Arabidopsis thaliana: one gene and its partner. The protein of the gene in region 1 interacts with the protein of each later gene in a pairwise test. Each region holds a gene or a part of one and is shown on either strand. Other genes may lie near its edges.

Evidence for each region. Proteins that work in one complex are often made in the same cells at the same time.
Region 2: the proteins of NAP5 (region 1) and UGT73C2 interact in a protein complementation assay, tested with the Arabidopsis thaliana proteins (one large-scale study listed by BioGRID).

What each region holds. Positions count from the first base shown.
Region 1 is NC_003070.9:26,883,006-26,888,172, reverse strand, and holds NAP5 (non-intrinsic ABC protein 5), read left to right. Parts: upstream 1-3,003; coding exon 3,004-3,234; intron 3,235-3,330; coding exon 3,331-3,417; intron 3,418-3,502; coding exon 3,503-4,159; downstream 4,160-5,167. Other genes in the region: GDPD4 (PLC-like phosphodiesterases superfamily protein), read left to right, coding at 852-1,118, 1,205-1,302, 1,407-1,467, 1,558-1,638, 1,740-1,832, 2,079-2,168, 2,242-2,369, 2,449-2,617; AT1G71320 (F-box family protein), read right to left, coding at 4,355-4,986, 5,100-5,167.
Region 2 is NC_003071.7:15,411,362-15,416,775, forward strand, and holds UGT73C2 (UDP-glucosyl transferase 73C2), read right to left. Parts: upstream 3,234-5,414; 5' UTR 3,172-3,233; coding exon 1,681-3,171; 3' UTR 1,606-1,680; downstream 1-1,605. Other genes in the region: UGT73C1 (UDP-glucosyl transferase 73C1), read right to left, coding at 1-645; AT2G36770 (UDP-Glycosyltransferase superfamily protein), read right to left, coding at 3,866-5,356.

The sequences.
Region 1 (5,167 bases):
TTTTCTCCGACATCGGTGGTTTCTTTAGCACCGTTGGTCGGCTTCGTTCTTCAAATTTAGTTTTTGCCTTTCAACCTTGTTCGATTCTATTTTGCTTCGGTTTTAATTGGTTTTGATTTCTCTTTCTCTTCATTTCGATCTAAATTTGTAATTTTTCGATCCTCCCTTCTTTAAGGGGCTTAATTTGTTCTTCAAGCTTATTGAGTTTTCATTTTAAAAGATCAAATTTTTAGTTACGGATTGAAGTTTAATTTAGTGTCTTTTGTTTGATTTTGATGAAATTAGAGCTGTTGTTTGTCTTTCTTGTTGCCGATGCTTGTTGAATCGTTTGGGTTTATGTTGTTTTTCCTTTAAATGGCAGAAGTCGAAGTCGATAGTTTGTGAGCTATTTCTTTCTTGAAGGTTTTAAATTTTACAGTCATTGTCACAGAAGATTTGTCAATTGTCTCATCGGATTTGTAGCTGCTTCCGATTTGGCGTTTACAGCAATTCCGGTGAACTTAAGTTTTTTGTGGTTATGATTCTCCACCTGCGACATTCTGCAACTCATCATTTTCTGTTTCCACGTGTCCTCTTTACCGTGTCTCTAGTGCCATGTGGGCTTTGACTTATTAGCACATTAGCTTTCTCTTCTTCAGAAGGTGGTCTTTGGGCTTTTGTCCGTTTATGGCCTGTTATATGGCTTTGTAAAATATGGCTTGTTAAAAGGCTTTGTAATATAAATAATAAAACAGTTGTGACAAAAAAAAAAAAATATATAGTTTGATGGTGATTGGTGAACTTCTTTTTTTTCCAAGATTGCAGTAAACGTCGTCTTTAGCTCCAAAAACAACCTTTGTCTTGTTCAGCTAATGGCGATTTTTGAATGGCGGCACAGAAGACGGCCATTCGACGGCGGAGGAACTCGTCGCCGTCGTTTCTTCAGCCCATTGTATTCGAGAAATTTCAAGAGAACGATTCTCTTCGCTGTGATTTTCTTAGCTATCTTCCCTCCTCTCTACTTCCATTTCAAGCTCCGACGAATTCGTCAGATTGTCGCGCAAAAGTGCGATTGGCTTCACCATCCTCCACTTGTCTGTGCTCACGGCGGCGATTCCACCCTCGCTTTCCCAAACACTGTACGTACACTCTCGATCTCTTCTTCTTCACACTCTTGCTACTAACCTTTTTAAACCTTAATCTCTTGGACTCTTCTCAATCGTAGATGGACGCTTACAGTTTCGCTATACGTTCTCGAGTTGATTGCATTGAAGTCGATGTTTCTCGTTCCTCCGATGGTGTTTTATTCGCTCTTCACAACAGGTTACAGACTCTGATCCTTGTTGTATCATCTTCTTCTAATGTTTCTGTGTTTGGATTCTCATCGGTGTTCTTCTTATTCATCTTCTGATCACACGCACAGTCAGGGATCTGCAGCGTATTGCTCGTAACTCTTCTGTTCAAGTTGGAGATCTGAGTATGAAACAGGTCTCATCTCTCCCTCTCTCTCTTTACCAGCTTTTGGGATATGCTTTTTTGCATCCATTTTTCATAAACCTTTTGATGATCTTTTTGCAGATCAAGGAACTCGATGTCTCGGAGATTGTTAAAGGAACCTTGGGAAGTAGTAGGATTCCTACTCTTGAAGAGGCTTTAGCGGTAATGCCTGTTTTTTTAATTACTATCTTGTCATTGCTTTGCTTTGTAATTTCTGCTTAGTAACAAGTGGCTGAAGCTAGTTTTGATCTTGAATCATCTAGTTGATATCGAATTCAGTCCGGAAAGTGATCCTTGATGCCAAAGTTGGACCGCCAATGTATGAAAAGGGGTTAGCACAAGACATCCTTTCTATTGTAAGTACTATGTTTTTGTTAGCTCTTGTACTTGTAAAGCTTTAGTACAATGTGCTCGAGATTTATAAACATGTTTTGATTCCTTAATAGCGTTGCTTAATCATTTATTTCCTGGTATCTTTGTACACAAAGCTAGAACAGCTTACTATAGATACTTGAAAAAACAAGAGTATGGATAAATTGTTGATGTTTCAATGGTGGTATTTCTGGCTTTGCTCACATGAATCGCCAATCCTCTGTTGTTAGATTGAGAGAGCGCAGTGCAATAATTGCATCGTATGGGCCAAAAGCGACACTTTGGCTAGGGACATAATTAGACGAGCACCAGATACTATGGTAAACAGAAATGGATTGTCTTGTGAGGATCAGATAGAGAAGTTTCTTGCTCATTTCCTAGTGATTTTGGCAGGTGGGATACATTGTGATGGTAGATCCTTTGACTGGGGCGAGAAACAGCCTGCTGAGAATGAAGGGAGCTAGGGTTGTGGGAGTTTATCATCCCTTGATCGATGAAGAATTAGTTAGAGTTGTCCGTCGGTAAGCAATCGATTTCAATGTTTTCAAATAAAAACACACCTGCTCATGTGTTTACAACCTTGCTCGATCTGATCAACAGGAGAAACAAAGAGGTGTATGCATGGACTGTGGATGATGCTGATCCCATGAAAAGGATGCTTCACTTAGGTGTGGATGCTGTTGTGACGAGCGATCCATCTATGTTTCAGGGTCTCATGGAAGATCTTAGAACTGAGTGTCTTGAAGAAGGTTTTTCAATACGGACGTGAGAATTTCTTTTTCGAGCATTCTTAATGACTGTAATACCAACTCAGAAGTTTTTGGCAAAGATCTTTCTTTATGTTGTTTTGCTGATCCACAAGTTTTTGACAACTACACACTACGACGCCTTGATACACAGTAAGACGAGTCTTTCTCAAGAAAAGCAAAGTATGGCCGGTTCTTGATGAAGCCATTGCTTCTATCGATACAGCTACTGATAATCTGATCCAGGAGACTCTGAGGCAACACTTTTCGGACTGCACAGTGAAAACAATCTCACACAGATATCTTCTTTTATACATAACGATATGAGCCTGCTCCTAGAACAAGGTCTAATACACTTGTATTTAAGTTTAAATAATCAGATGACTGATATTAAGTCTGTTTATATAATATGGATAGAGAACGATATGATAAGGTGATTGAAGCATGTTCTTTGAGTAAAGATCTGGAGATACTTTCATTCGGTGATCAGACCGTCATTGGAGAACGCGGCATCAATTTGAGTGGTGGACAAAAGCAAAGAATACATATTGCACGCGCTCTCTACCAAGATGCGGACATCTATCTGTTTGATGATCCTTTTAGTGCTGTCGATGCACACACAGGGTCACATCTCTTTAAGGTACAATCTTCTTACTTAGCCATTAGTGTGATTGTGATTTCTCCTTCCGTAAACAATCATGTATCAAATTTATTTTCATTCTCATACTTTTTTCAGGAAGCTCTACGAGGGCTTTTATGTTCTAAATCGGTTATATATGTAACCCATCAAGTTGAGTTCTTACCTTCTGCTGATCTTACACTGGTATGTGAATAGTTCACTGTCTTTTATCATTTTCTACAGCACTGAGAATATGAAATCATCCATAACCGATTTTCTTATGCCTCAGGTCATGAAAGATGGGAGAATCAGCCAAGCTGGAAAATATAATGATATCCTCATCTCTGGAACAGATTTCAGGGAGCTTATAGGTGCGCATCAAGAGTCTCTGGCAGTAGTTGGGTCGGCTGATGCCAGTTCTGTTTCTGAAAACTCAGCTTTAGACGAAGAAAATGGTGTTGTGAGAGATGATATTGGTTTCGACGGGAAACAAGAAAGTCAAGATCTGAAGAACGATAAATTAGATTCTGGGGAGCCCCAAAGACAATTTGTTCAAGAGGAAGAGAGGGCGAAAGGTAGCGTCGCTTTGGATGTATACTGGAAATATATCACACTGGCATACGGAGGAGCTCTTGTGCCTTTCATATTGTTGGGGCAAATTCTCTTTCAGCTTCTACAGATTGGAAGTAACTACTGGATGGCTTGGGCTACTCCTATTTCTGAGGATGTGCAAGCTCCTGTGAAACTTTCTACGTTAATGGTTGTGTATGTTGCTTTGGCATTTGGAAGTTCCCTCTGCATTCTTGTTAGAGCCACGCTTCTTGTCACGGCTGGTTACAAGACTGCTACTGAACTGTTTCATAAAATGCATCACTGCATTTTCCGTTCTCCAATGTCTTTTAAAATTGCAAAAACTTGTTCAAAAACTTGTATATATTCATCATAACTATATCCAAATATGTATTATATTGACAGAAAGAAAGAAAACAAGAGAAAATAAAACATAAAAATAATCCATAATGTCAAATAAAGAAATTACAATATACTTAAAATAAATAAATATCTAAACATCTTTTTTTTAAAAATATTCTTTTTAACTTACATATAATATTGTTAAAAATTGAAAGTATAATTAACAACATCAAAGCATCAAATTTGAAGGAGAAATCATTGTTGGCAAATACGAAATCGTTCTTTGTCTAAAAAAAGAAACTTGATCTTGACGATTTCTGATATTTGAAAAATAGGCAGCCGCTAGACCAAGCATCCAAAACTTTTCATGTAATTGGTTGGTTCTTATAACGTCAATCTTAATAGAATATATTTTCTCCCATTTTTCGGTAGGATATTCTTGGTGTAAACTCCAAACGACCAAATTTGAACTTTCTAGCACATCCGATAGGCACAAACGTTCATTCAGATTCCACATTTCTATATTAGTAGCATATTTGGTGTCACACTCTGGTAATAATATCCATCGAAATTCTTCAGTGTGAAGATCGATAGCTAATAGCTGGTAAGATGTTTGACTAAGCTTCTTTAATGTCAACCAAAAGAGGGATCCGTTGGCGTAGACTGATGTTTGCTCATCGCAGAAGATACAATGATGTATGTCATAAAACCCTACGTCTCTTTGCTCACCATTATCAAGGGATAGGACCTTGGCCTTGAACTCATGATCATGTATTTCATATCTTGTATATATCAAAACCACCTTATAAGATTTTTTAACAATATCTTTGCCAAATCCAGCAAGAGACGGCATTCTCTTCACTAATCCACCTTGACGAAAAATTTTTTTTTGATAAATAGGTATATAACATATTACTATGTGAAAGTTAAAATTCAACTCTATAATCAACCATAGAACAAGAAAGTTGACAAACCAGATATGTCATAATCCAATACTGATTGAGAAAGTTGTCTCCATGGTTTATTGGCCATTGCGGGGGTT
Region 2 (5,414 bases), on another chromosome or scaffold:
AGTGTTATCCCCTTCTGTCATTCCGTCAAGGAAGTCTTTCCAATCTCCAGCAACTAATACCATTGGAAGCTGAGATTTTGTGAACTCAACTCTGTCAGGGAAATTAGGAATGGGGAAGTATTCCTTGTCAGACTCTATAGTTTCCAAGAACTCGTGGTTTTGGTGCATTATGTGCGTACAAAGAAGATTGAAGCAACACATGCCATGAAAGATGATTTTTGGTATACCAAGATTCTTGGCAATTCTGTTTGTATAAGGCAAACACATGTCAGCGATTATGCAGTTTGGCCTAGGTTGAATCTCTTTCAAGAGCTTCTCGACTGGTTCCTCGAGCAGGCTAAATGCTTTGAAGAAGGTTAATGAAGCCCCCAATGAATCGAGCAAGTCCAAATTCTCCTGTCCTTCCGGTGAACCCGATTCTTGAGATGGAAACTTTACTTGCACGAGATTGATGGGCAAGCCGGATTGGATAGCCCGGCTAAGAACGTTCTTGAACCGGCCTGCGTTTTGAGGTGTAGTGACAATGGTTATAGTCACCCCGCGCTGAGCCAGGAGCCTTGCAATATCTACCATTGGGATCATGTGGCCTTGAGCCATGAAAGGGAAGAGAACAAAATGAAGAGGAGGACGAAATTCCGATGCCATGAGGAACTCTCTTCTAAGGTTTATTTTTTTTGCTTTGGTTCCGATAATGTGTGTGTTTCTCTGTGCCTACATATATTAAGATGTGATGTAAGAAAGAACAAAAGGAAATTGGCTTATTATTCGTAATAGTTACAAAACACACTAAGTGGTTCACAGTACATATCGTGGCGGGCACTCATATGTTCTTTTGTATTCATATAAGCCCAAAATTTTAAGAGAAAATATCTTTTAGCTAGAGGTACGTCGAAAAGATAGTGAAAAGTTTATAGCCGTAAAAATTAGTATTGGATAAACGAATAAAGAAAGAAAAATCAAATTCGGAATATCTCAGTCTCTCCTTCTTTTTATGTCGTATGGACAAACAAGCCTCAACATTTGTCTTCAAACTAAATCAAAGTGTGTACTCTAGATTTCTAGCTATTCTAGTCTTTTTTTTTTTTTTTTTTTTTTTTGCTTTATGACGACTGATTTTGATAGGATATTAAATTAGGATATGTGAAATACTTGGTTGTTTTCTTAAAAACGTATTTTTTGTTTCCTCTTTTTTTTTTCTTCCGAAAAATCAAAACTCTTAATGAAAATTTCATTTAAAATAAAATCTCCTTAGGTGCACAAAAAAAAAAAAAAAAAATCTCCTTATGACAAATATCTTGATTGTTTGAAATTCAGATTGGTGACAAGATAAATCAAATTTTGTATAGCTATTAAAATATGAAAAACTATAAACGGATATACATAAAAGGAATTATTAGGGAAATTGTAGATTTCTTTAAAAAAAACATTATTGATAATAAGCCTAAAACCGCTAGAAGAATTAGGAAAGTTGAACTCCGCCGGACTACCAGCGCAGCTGTCTATACAATGAAATTATTAGACATTGGCTCTTTCTACGATTTCAATGTATATAAGTTGTAGTTTTTAAAATATTTACATAATTCTAATAGCAAAACAAGACGAATTCGATTACCCAACAAATAACTGATAAGATATTACATGCACGCACAATGATTTAACAAACAACAACAATATATACAATCAACTCTTGGATTCTACTTGTTGCATTATATCTTGTAGCAAAAATATGATATTAGAATGAGAAGAGCCTCCTTCTTCCACAGCCTTGTGAGCTAATTCTCCAAGCTCTCTGACTCTTTTTCTTCTCTCTTTTGCTTCATCACTCTCGCCCATTATTTCGTCCACTGCCTTCTTCACTCCTTCTTTATCCACTAACACTCCAATACTCTCCTCTTCTCCCCATTTCATGACCTCTTCAACCCCAACACTTACACCTGCTTTTAGCACCTGCACGATCAGTTTCTGGTTGCAGAATTGGTCTCCAAATAATGGCCAAGTGATCAATGGAACCCCTGAGGTGATTCCTTCTAAAGTTGAGTTCCATCCACAATGTGTCAGGAATCCTCCAACGGCAGGGTGTGAAAGGATAAGCATTTGAGGCGACCATCCTTTTATGAGAAGGCTTCTCTCTTTGGTTCTTTCTTCAAAACCGCTCTCTAAGATCCACTCAGCTAGTTCATGATACTTTCCCCCACCTCTTATGACCCAAATGAATGGTCTTTTAGTTGCCTCGAGGCCTAGCCCGAGCTCTCTAAGCTGAGCCAGAGGAAGATTGCATATACTTCCAAGGCAAACATACAGCACCGACTCTACATCTTTAGAATCAAGCCATTTAATACACTCGTCTTGATCAATGGCTGCCTTGTTTCCCCTCTCAGCTTTGTCTTCTCCTACCTTGTTGCACAAGGAAACCGGACCGATGCTCCATACTTTACCAGCCCTAGCCTCCGTGTAGTTTTTCACATAGGCAGACTCCAAATCCTGAAATGTGTTGACAATTACACCATAGGACGTGTCATCAGCATCCACCTGTTCGTCCATGATCTCTTTCCAATCTCCACTAAAGTTTGTTTTCACAGTAACTTGAAGCTTTGTAAATTCAACTCTATCTGGAAAACTAGGAACCAAGAAATACTCTTTGTCCGACTTTAAAGCATGTAAGATATTGTGGTTTCGGTGTAGAATATGCATACTCAAAAGACAAAAGCAAGACACGCCATGGAAAACGATCTTTGGGATATTGAACCTCTTAGCGATTTTGCTTGTATAAGGCAAACAAAAATCAGAAATTAGGCAGCTTGGTTTAGGTTTCATCTCTTCCATGAGCTTCATGACCGGATTTTCAAGCATGTTAACCGCTTTAAAGAAATGTACCATTAACTCCATTGAGTCAAGAAAATCAACATTCTCTTGTCCTTCTTGCAAACCAGCTTCTTGAAAAGGAAACTTCACATGCTCAACCCTAATGTGCAAGCCTGACTGGATGGCCCGGTTTAGGACATCTTTGAACCTGGCTGCGTTGTGAGGCGTCGTGACAATGGTAATAGTCACCCCGCGCTGAGCCAAGATCCTTGCAATATCCACCATGGGGATCATGTGGCCTTGAGCCATGAAAGGGAAGAGAACAAAGTGAAGCGGAGGAAGAAATTGGCGGGTCTTCTCGAAAGCCATGAGGACCTATCTCTAAGTTCTTTTTTGCTTTGATTCCGATTGTGTGTGTGTGTGTGTGTGTGTGTGTGTGTGTGTTTGTCTAAATGTCAGTGCATACTTTAATCTTATATTTGTTGATTCATGAAAAAGAATAAAAAACTTGGAAGTACCAAAATCTTGGTTCACAGAGATTATTAGTACATTACGTTTTGTGGCGGGCACCTATCTTTTGTATTATTTTGTATTCATATATTTGATAACTACATCTAAAATAAAGTGGAAAGAATTCACAACCGCTAAAATCAACTTGATTAAGAAAATAAAGATATCAAACGTAACTGGGACTCTATCGACAGTGACATATAAGAGATAACGTCTTCAAAATAAATCAAGAGAAGCTATATAAGAAACAACGTATGTTGGTGTGGTATGATTTGCTCTTATGACACATCTACCTTTACTATTAGTATTTGATATTTCTTTTCTTGAAAATGATATAGTTTTTAACTTGAGAAGAGGTCTGAATAAATTTTTAACCTGAAAATGATTTAATTTAATACGGTGGCTAGAGTTTATGTTAATTTTACTAGTAAATTTAGTCCGCATACAGCGGAAATCATCATCTAGTGCATCATTATAAGTTTTTTTTAATACATCTCAGAAGAACAGACTTAATTTGAATTAAATTATGGTAATGTTACTAAAAATGATGTAATCAGTTCTTGGATTTCACTTGTTGCATTATGTCTTGTAGCAAGTATGTGATGTTAGAATGAGAAGAGCCTCCTTCTTCCACAGCCTTGTGAGCTGATTCTCCAAGCTCTTTGACTCTTCTTCTCCTCTCTTTTGCATCATCACTCGCACCCATTAACTCTTCCACTGCCTTCTTTACTCCTTCTTTATCCACTAACACTCCTATTTTCTCCTCTTCTCCCCATTTCATGACTTCTTCAACCCCGGCACTTACACCGGCTTTTAGTACTTGAACGACCAGTTTTTGGTTGCAGAATTGGTCTCCAAACAGCGGCCAAGTGATCAGTGGAATGCCTGAGGTGATTCCTTCGAGAGTCGAGTTCCATCCACAGTGTGTCAGGAATCCTCCAACGGAAGGATGTGAAAGGATAAGGACTTGAGGTGACCACCCTTTAATAAGAAGTCCTCTCTCTTTGATTCTTTCTTCAAAACCGCTCTCCATCATCCACTCATATAGTTCATTATACTTTTCCCAACCTCTTATGACCCAAATAAAAGATCTTTGGGATTTTTCAAGGCCTAGCCCCAGCTCCTTGAGCTGAGACAAAGGTAGATTACAGATACTTCCAAGGCAAACATATAACACCGAACCATCTTCTTTAGAATCAAGCCATTGAAGACACTCATCTTGATCAATGGCGGCCTGGTTTCCCCTCTCAGCTTTATCAGCACCTGCCTTGTTGCACAAGGAAACAGGTCCAATGGACCATACTTTTCCAGCCCTAGCCTTCGTGTAGTCTTTGACATAAGCAGGCTCCAACTCCTGAAATGTGTTGACGATCACACCATAGGATGTGTATTCTGCTTCTACCATTTCGTCCAAGAACGCTTTCCAATCTCCACTTGCAGTTGTTTCCACTGGAACTTGAGGCTTTGTAAATTCAACTCTATCAGGAAAACTAGGAACCAGGAAATAATCTTTATCCGACTTTAAGTTCTTCAAGATCTCGAGGTTTCTGCGTAGAACATGCATACACAAAAGATTAAAGCAACCCGTGCCGTGGAAAACTATCTTTGGTATACTGAATTTCCTTGCGATTTTGCTTGTATAAGGCAAGAGCAAATCAGAAATAATACAGCTAGGTCTAGGTTTCATCTCTTCCATGAGCTTCATGACCGGATCTTCGAGCATGTTAACTGCTTGAAAGAAAGGTACCATCAGCTCCATTGAGTCATACGAATCTATATTCTCTTTTCCTTCTGGCAAACCAAATTCTTGATATGGAAAATTCACATGCACTATGTTGATGGGTAAACCAGACTCCATGGCACGACTTAAGACATTCTCGAACCTCCCTGCATTATAACGTGTCGTGACAATAGTTACTGTCGCACCGCGCTGAGCCAAGAGCCTTGCTATATCAATCATGGGAATCATGTGGCCCTGAGCCATGAAAGGGAAAAGAATAAAGTGAAGAGGAGGATGAACTTTGTGGGATTTTTCGGAAGCCATACCGGTTCCAACTCAATGATGAACTCTCAAGTTTTGTGGTTTTTGGATTGTGTGTGAT